Linked DNA regions of Kluyveromyces lactis. The protein of the gene in region 1 interacts with the protein of each later gene in a pairwise test. Links are inferred from orthologs where the notes say so. Each region holds a gene or a part of one and is shown in the gene's direction. Other genes may lie near its edges.

What was found.
Region 2: the proteins of CIA1 (region 1) and MET18 interact in binary tests that used the Saccharomyces cerevisiae proteins (3 or more experiments, as listed by UniProt). The link is inferred for Kluyveromyces lactis from reciprocal best matches to the Saccharomyces cerevisiae genes CIA1 and MET18.

What each region holds. Positions count from the first base shown.
Region 1 is NC_006041.1:1,943,773-1,947,700, reverse strand, and holds CIA1 (iron-sulfur cluster assembly protein CIA1), read left to right. Parts: upstream 1-1,834; coding exon 1,835-2,836; downstream 2,837-3,928. Other genes in the region: tryptophan--tRNA ligase MSW1, read right to left, coding at 1-205; CYC2 (oxidoreductase), read right to left, coding at 438-1,511; SNAP receptor PEP12, read right to left, coding at 2,941-3,768. UniProt on the Saccharomyces cerevisiae protein: Essential component of the cytosolic iron-sulfur (Fe/S) protein assembly machinery. Required for the maturation of extramitochondrial Fe/S proteins.
Region 2 is NC_006042.1:440,713-445,640, reverse strand, and holds MET18 (Met18p), read left to right. Parts: upstream 1-1,445; coding exon 1,446-4,535; downstream 4,536-4,928. Other genes in the region: TAO3 (Tao3p), read right to left, coding at 1-968; RRT14 (Rrt14p), read right to left, coding at 4,698-4,928. UniProt on the Saccharomyces cerevisiae protein: Key component of the cytosolic iron-sulfur protein assembly (CIA) machinery that mediates the incorporation of iron-sulfur cluster into apoproteins specifically involved in DNA metabolism and genomic integrity.

The sequences.
Region 1 (3,928 bases):
AATCGGTAATATCTTTCCAGACCCTCACAGCACCAAGGTAATTACCTAAATGGAACTTGCCAGTAGGTTGAATTAAACTGAATATTGTGGCATTCTTGGGCAGATCCGATTCCCTCAATTTGAATCCAGTCGTTTTAACCGAACTATTGAATCTCTTGAAAAGAATACGACTTTTATTTCTAACAAGTTGAGAACTTGCAAGCATGACAAGATATTTGCTGTAAACCTAAAAACTGCTTGTCTCAGTAATCACAATAGTAGCTACACAGCAGGAAAGTGGAGGTTACACATGTTCCATGTGTTATCTATGTATATATTCTGTGATCTAAGTTGTATTTGTGTGGTTTCGTTATATCTGAAAAAATGTCCGATACAGCTGACATGATGGTATTTACAGTGTTCTATCAAATGAGAAGAGTTTATGTACGAGTCAAAGGTCACGACAACTTATATACGTTTGAATTATCCCAACCACGAGCAGCTAGTATTCCTTTGATTGGGCCTTGTACCAAATCGTACTTTGGCCCTGAAACCGTGGAAATAAATCCACCTGGACCGCATACAAGAGAGAGAACTGGCCTCACTTTTGAGTCTAACGAGGTAAACGGCTCATTACCACCGTATGGATAAGGAGAAGGTATTCCTTCCATGGCAGGATCAGATTGCAAAGGAATCGAAATCCGGTTACTCTCATGTGTATGTAATTCGATTCTGTCGTTATCTTGAAGTTTTGTTAGAATACTATTCAACGGCCCTAATTCGGTAAGTGATTTACAACTATGATAAGCACCAATCTTACCTCTGAATGGTGACTCAGTTAAAGTCATTTGTAATAAAGGAACGATACCTGTGCCTCCAGTAAAGAACAATATATCGAATGGTTGGTACTTGTAATTGTCTTTGACACAATCTTCATTCCCCCATAAGAACGATCTATCTCTCGTGATCTCATCGGCAGTATCAGGGAATTCATATTCTACAAACGGTCCACGCAGCTCAAGTACATGTCCCAAAGGTAGATGGTTAATCCAACGAGCCACTTCTCCCTGTTTATACTGTTTAATGTAGAAAGTTAATGCGCCGCTGGCGTTTTCCTCATCTCGAAGTACTTCAACGGCTCCGTTTTCTTCGATTGTCAGAGGCAGAGGTGTGTAGCTTCTAACAACCATAATCTCTGGCTGTTTAACTTCGACTGACCAGAGTTTTGAAGAGTTCATTTCTTTCCAAAGATTAACCTTCTGTGCTTTCAAAGGTGTCAATTCGATCAAATAGTGATCCTGATCAATGGAATACTTCTTGCTGATTTTGTACTTCGAGAAGTAATCCCTTGATAACTCCCTTTGATATAAACTCTCCTTGTAGTAGTTCCATGATAGCGCACCGATTGCAACAGAGCCAGACAGTAGCAGAACTGTTTTCAATAGCGAAGAAGACTTACCAGCAGAAGGTTGAGGTAGAGTTGTTTTCGATGACGACGATAATCTTTTGATGCTTCCAAGTAACAATTTCATCTTATAAGATTCTGATGTCGTGTATTCACAGGTTAGAATCGCCTTTTGGCGTATCAAAGGAGAGTATCAATTATTGAAGAACCACACTAATGACTTTCCAGGTCAATTATGCCAGTGTTATCATTCATATGTATCGATTCTTTATGCATGAGTCTTCCTTGCAATATCTGAAAAGATTTGAAATATAAGAACTTATAATAATTAAGACAAAGAGATCCAAACTTATGATAGTAGCCATATGCATAACACACTTGGTGTTTTATTGATAATCCAAAGAACAAGGATACCTGCAATTAGTATAAGTGCCGTATTAGAACTGAACGATGGCTGGGTTGAAGTTATTGAAGTCGCTTGCATTGCATGATGATAAGTGCTGGAGCGTCGACGTTAATAATGGTGGAATTATGGCAACTGGAAGTACCGACAGAAAGATTAAACTAGTTGATATACGTTCTTTTCAAATTATCGAGGAATTGGATGATACTGCACATAAGAAGACTGTTAGAAGTGTTGCGTGGAGGCCTCATTCTAATATCTTGGCTGCTGGTTCGTTTGATTCCACTGTATCGATTTGGGGCAAGGACGATGATGGATACAACGATGAGAATGATCTGGAAACGGAGTTATTAGCCATTATAGAGGGTCATGAGAATGAAATTAAATGTGTGGCATGGTCTCATGATGGTGAATTATTAGCTACTTGTTCGAGGGATAAGAGCGTTTGGATTTGGGAAGCTGATGAAATGGGCGAAGAGTTCGAATGTATCAGTGTTCTACAAGAACATTCACAAGATGTAAAGCACGTAATATGGCATCAATCGCTTCCCTTATTGGCATCCAGTTCCTATGATGACACGGTGCGTATTTGGAAGGATTGTGATGATGATTGGGAATGTTGTGCTGTACTTAACGGGCATGAAGGGACTGTGTGGTCTTCAGATTTCGAGAAATCTAATTCCAACGTCAGGCTATGCAGTGGTAGCGATGATGGGACCGTCAGAATATGGTGTCTCGAAGATGATAACGGAGAATACGAGCAAGAATGGATCCAAGAATCAATTCTACCGAAGGCTCATACAAGGGCAGTCTACAGTGTTAACTGGAGTCCTAAGGGGTATATTGCTAGTACCGGTTCTGACGGACGTCTAGTTATATACAAGGAATCGGAAGATGGCTGGATAGTTGAGTGCATTCACGAATTAACACACGGAGTTTATGAAACAAATATGGTGAAATGGGTAGAGTATGGCTCTAAAGATGTCATCTTATTGATAACTGCTGGTGACGACGGTCATGTTAACGTATGGAAATTCGATGAGAATTAGCTTCTTTGCCGGACTTTATCAATATCTGATTTGTAACCTAGTATAACCTGCATAAAAATTACATAAAATGGAGGCATCCATGACGCCTCATGAATACCATTCATTCAACTGAAAACAGCCAGTATTGTGAGAAGAAGGAAAAACAATAGTATGAAAAGGAAATGTAGTTTTAGCTTACTTGAACTGCGTCCGGATCTCATAGCGCGAGATAACTCATTTGCTGCATTTCTGGTATTATCTTCTACATTGTACAAATTAGCTTCAATGCTATCTACTAGCTGCCCTTGCTGTTGCACTAAACCACCTAAGTCCTTGAATATGCCATTTAATTCCGTTATACCTTGTTCTATGTTTGATATCTCTTGGTCTCGTTCCCTGATCAGATGTTGCTGGTATGCAAATTCCTCATTATTTATTGGTTCTCGCTCTATAACCACCTGTGTTCTTTTTGCGTGTTCATCTTCTTCCTCTCTTAAAACAGTATCCATCAAGGAATTATTTTGTTCTTCATCTTCCAAAGCCACTTTGGCCATGTCATTTATCCGCTTTGTAACTTCAAGAAAATGTTGTTGATATTTCTTGAATTCCTGTACAGAGAATTTCGCATCCCTAGTCAACTTCTCCCTTGTGATCAAATGAGGCTTATCCAAAGCCGACTCCTCTAACTCATTAACTTTATGAATATTCTCGTTTATCGATGATACTAATTTTGTACTTTTGTCTATTAGTTCAACCGTCTTCTTATTGATATTGTCGATAACTTTAGTGTTAGATTTACCGTGGGATACATTCGTTTCCAAAGCCGTTACAAAGTGGTTCATAGTTGAAAGGCTCCCGTTCAATTCAAATAAATCTTGAGATATAGCATCGCAGCAATCTTCGAACTCAGGACTATCCCTATATTGAAGAATTTCATTGGGTGAATCTGACATATTTCTATACTGTTCAAATGCAGGTTCACTTGAATTCACCTAAGCGGTAGCAGCAAAATGCGTATCAGATTCCTTCATTTCTGGACTAAGCTTGTAGAAGACTAACCTTTTATCTTCATTGTTCTAATTTTGTAATTGATGCAAGCCTTAAAAAAATATA
Region 2 (4,928 bases), on another chromosome or scaffold:
AAAATATAAATGGTAATAAGAGATTTTCTATCGGCCTGGAAAGCCATTTCTTTTGTTCTCTCTACCTGGTTCTCTAATGATGCAAATTTGGGATCTGAATGAGAATTCAGGCTTGTAGAGGACTTTGATGAGGTATTTCTTCTATGTGTCAACCTGCTGCTAGCTGAGCTAGATGATTTTGAGTGAGTTCGACTAGCTGCCAGAACTTGCTCATTATTCTTCACATACTGCTCATATTCTTGCATGATTTTATCCAGTTTTTCCGCTGCTAAAGCAGCTACTTCAGACTTTGTCTTCCTCCAAAACATCATTGCATCTATTACCGGTTTCGCATTTTTCTTGGAAATGAAACCCAACGATTCTATAATTTTGTCAAATTCTATATCCTTGCCTTCTCCTAAAATTTCTATAATTGGAGGTTCCGTCTCTCTCGGATATTGTAAACATATATTAAGCTTCATCTCGGCAAATCTTACGAACTTTGTGAAAAGAATGTGTAATGCGTATTCAGACGGACTTTTCCAGTCAGTTGCCGATTTCTGTCTTAATCCGGCAACGTATTCATCGGGGAATGAGGATGTACTATTAGCAGATGCAGGATCAGGTCTTGGTTGCTGAGATACCTCGTTGATGCTGTAATTTATATTGTTTGTAATTTTGTTCGACAGGTTATCTCCCGGCTTGTTCAATTGCAATGCATTGATATGGAATTGTTCTGGGGTCACACCATTAGGATCTACCGGTGGAATGTCTATGATATTCAGTGTCTGTTGAGGATAATCTGTATTGCTATGTTGCACAGCCCCCTGGTCAATCTGGGTGGAAGGATACTGTTGTTGCTTTTCAACCTCTACTTGGTTCACATTCTCACTTGGAAACTTAAAATCATTACCCATATCATCAGAAAGTAAGGTACCATGTGCCCTGTTTTCTTTCCCCACTGGAGGAAACATAAACCCAGAGTTCATGTCCAATTGTAAGTTGTGGATATCTGGCAGTATTGGACCTTTCTTATTATGATTTAAAACAATTGGAAAGCGAATTTTCGTGACAATAGGCCTTTTGATAAAAGCACAATTCAACCCAAATTCTCGTATTCCATAAACCTTGGGAACACGATCAATTATGAATAACGATCTCTTACCGCGTAGACAGCAATTCTTTCTTCCACTCCCTTATGCAGATCATTTCATCGTCATCTCCTACTGTTAACTTCACTGAATTGTTATTCTTGATCTGGTCACATGATACGGAGTGTTCCGGGTAATCAAATAATTAAGCCTAATCGGAAGCATTGCACATATCAAAATCGTAATGTGGAATAAAACCCAACCTTAGTCAACAAGAACGAGTAAGAACTCAACGAGTTATTTAGTGCTTTAGCATTCGATAAACTTGTCATTGAAGACCGCCCTATCACTGTAAAATATTTATATCGTACCATAATGGCGACAGACTATACAGAAGATAAATTGAAAGCAGACATTGTCAGTTTTATGGCTAATGCAAAGGTTAATACTTCTGTGGCAGACAAATTGGCCAATACGATCGCTGATGAGGTAACTCGAAAGAGCATTGAATTGTTACGAATTGTAATATTTTTACGAGAGTACTTAACCTCTGATGACGATAGCACCAGACAAAATGCATTGAGCTGTTTATCTTGTATATTGGAACACATTTCACCAGCGGTACTAAAGAAGAATGATGTTTCAGTGATATTCGATTTCTACCAAAGTAAGATGGAAGATTCAGGCTGCATGAAAGAAACACTACAAGGGATCAACTCATTAGTACTAATGGACTGTTTTTACGTTAGTCACGTCGAAAAGCTGTTAAAACTTTTAGGAAATGACTATCAACCTACTAACTTTTTGGCTGCGACTAGATATTTCGGATTCAGGATTATGGATAATATACTTATCAAATTCAAATCCCAGATGTTGGGCAATCTCAAATTGAATGACTTATATATCGAAACTTTTATTCTTGTTGCAACTGGTGAGAAAGATCCTAGAAATCTTCTCATATCTTTCCGTTTGAATTCTGATATTAGCACCGGTTTACGCAACATTGACAGTTTCAAGGAGGAATTATTTGATATATTATTCTGCTACTTCCCAATCATGTTCAAACCCCCAAGTAATGATCCATACAAAATTACCAATAATGATTTGAAACTAGCCTTGAGAAGTGCCATCACTGCCACGGAAAAGTTTGAGGAGGATGCTTTTGGGAACCTCTTAGATAAATTGGCAGCATCGTCACCAACTGTTAAAAATGATACTATACTGACCCTCAAAGCATGTGTGGATACATTCAGTGGAACATCATCTTTGAAACACTGGCTGCCAATTTGGGATGCCCTAAAGTTTGAAATTTTAAATGGCACAGACCCGGAACCTTCAATCCTCGATACTGCAATGGATACAGAAAACCAAAACTCGAGACCAGAAGGAAATATTAGTAACTACTCGGATTCGCTCTCTATTATAACTTCATTATCTTCGAAACTCATCGCACTAGATGAACATGCATTTGATAAATTTTTTAATCATATATTTGATGAGTTTGTTCCAAATTTTGAACAAGATAAGGATTTAAAACAGTGTTGTGACCTGCTCGCTTCAATTTCTAAAGTGAGCTTGCAAACATTTAATAAAGTCATGAAAAAAGTGATTCCAGTGCTTTTCATGGATAAAGACTTAGATGCTTCTAAACAGAAACTCTTGATTCTCAATTTGGCGCCATTTTTTAGCGCTTATATTTCACTCTTTGGCGAGACCGGTAAAGAGATTTCCAAATTCCATGCTAAGAATGAATTACAAAATCACAAAGACAGCATATTAATGGTTTTCAGCAAGGCATTAACTGGTACATCCAAAAATGAAGTTACCCTGAGGACGCTTGCTATCATACAATTCACCACACTAGTTAAAATGTCAGGTTTTTTGGATAGCGAGGAAATAGCGATGATTGTCCAATATTTCACCGAAACAATTTTGACTGACGAGAATAAGAATATATACTGCGCATGCTTGGAGGGTCTCAAGTTTATCAGTGTGTTCAATGAATCCATTATTTATGAAGTCTCTTTGAAGTACATGTTACATCTACTTCCTGATAATGAAAACATGGTTCCAATCACATTGAATAACACTGATATAGTCCCAATAGAGCGAGTTTTGAAGGTCATTCTCGATTTCACTACTTCAAGGCACCATTTGGTCAAAGAAAGTATTGTTGGTCTTGCTTCGAAATTAAACCTCATTGTAATGCATCCAAATTGCAGCGATTATTGTTTTTTGATTTTGTCATGTCTTTTTTCCCTTTTGCAGAATAACATTGATGAATTCGACCAGAACGTTGTGCAATTCTTGAAGGAATCGATGGAAGAGACATTTTTACAAAACTCTTTGAAAAATGATATGATATACCTTGATGACCACTCCTTGAGCCTTGCGGCTGGAGTTTTATTTCAGCTTAACATAAAATCTGATGTCTCAACCCATCAAAGTGAACTTATTACCTATAATAAATGTTTCTTGGATGAAGAAAGAATTTTTGATTCTGCTCAAAGATCTATTGTGATTTACTCCAGGCTTTTGGCAGCTTTGGATAAGAATACATCTTTTGAAGCCGCGAATGATATATTTTCAAAAGCCATTGAACTCATTAAGAATAATGAAGCTCTCCCAACTTTCGAATCTCTAAATTACTTGGAGTTCTTGGCGCTATTATCAAATAAATGGGTTACAGAATCTTACATAGAAAGCGTGCTGGACCTAACTGACACATCTATTAAGAATCTTGAAATAATATGCTGGATTAACAAAGGTTTGGTCATGAAAAATTCAGTTCTTGCAACAAAATTGACGGATCATCTATTTTCTCTTTTAAGTGACGAGAAGTTTGGCAATAAGGTTGCTCACCTCTTTGAAGTTTTAGTTCTTGACCTTCTAATTTTTCAAAGATTTAAAAAGGTGTCATGGAATAACAATATTCGATTAATTTACAAGCAGAAGTTTTTCAATCACATTGCACAAAAAATGGTAAACGCCTTCAAATCTTCTGATAATATGACCATTAAATCGAATTATCTTACCGCAGTTTCTTTAGTTTTAAAGAATACTCCATCAAATATCACCATATCGTATATCACGGACTTGTTACCTCTTCTTCTTCAGGCTCTTGAACTAGAGAATATCGAAGTCAGAATATCATCTCTAGAGACACTAAAAAATACTGTGAATCAAATGTCTCAGTTGGTTACTGAACATGTCCATTCGTTAGTTCCGCTGTTACTTAACTTATTGGTCCCATCGAAATATAGTAACGTGAACGTAAGATTTCTGTCATTAGAAATTCTTCAGACTTTAACAACCAGTGTTCCCCTTAACTACTTGATCCCCATGAAGAATGAAATTATATCAAAACTTCAAATTGGTTTAGATGACTCGAAGCGTAGAGTGCGCAAACAATGCATAGACACAAAACAGGCATATTTGGAATTAGGACAGGTACCATTTGAGTAGTTCTACTTCCTTCAAATAATGAATATACTTAATTAATATATATGAACCGACAATGAACACTTGAGTCTACTGAGTATTTGATCATATGCTGAGAGAAAAAAACACACCTTTGTATGAGCCGCAATGAAAACTCCGTACCTGTACGTCTTTGTAAATATGAGCTCAATAATCTTCATCTTCGTCTTCTGATTCCTCCTCATCGCTCGCACCAACTGGAGCCAATCCAGGTGTGAGAGCTTTATATCTGTGGTCTTGTATCGATTGTGGTAGCTTCTCCTTGAACTGTTTCTTCTTTTGTCTCCTAGATTTTACCTTCCTTACCTTCTTTGAATCTTCTGAGTTGGCAAGTATTTGTTTCTGTAAATCTAACAGTTCTTCCTTATCGTCATAATC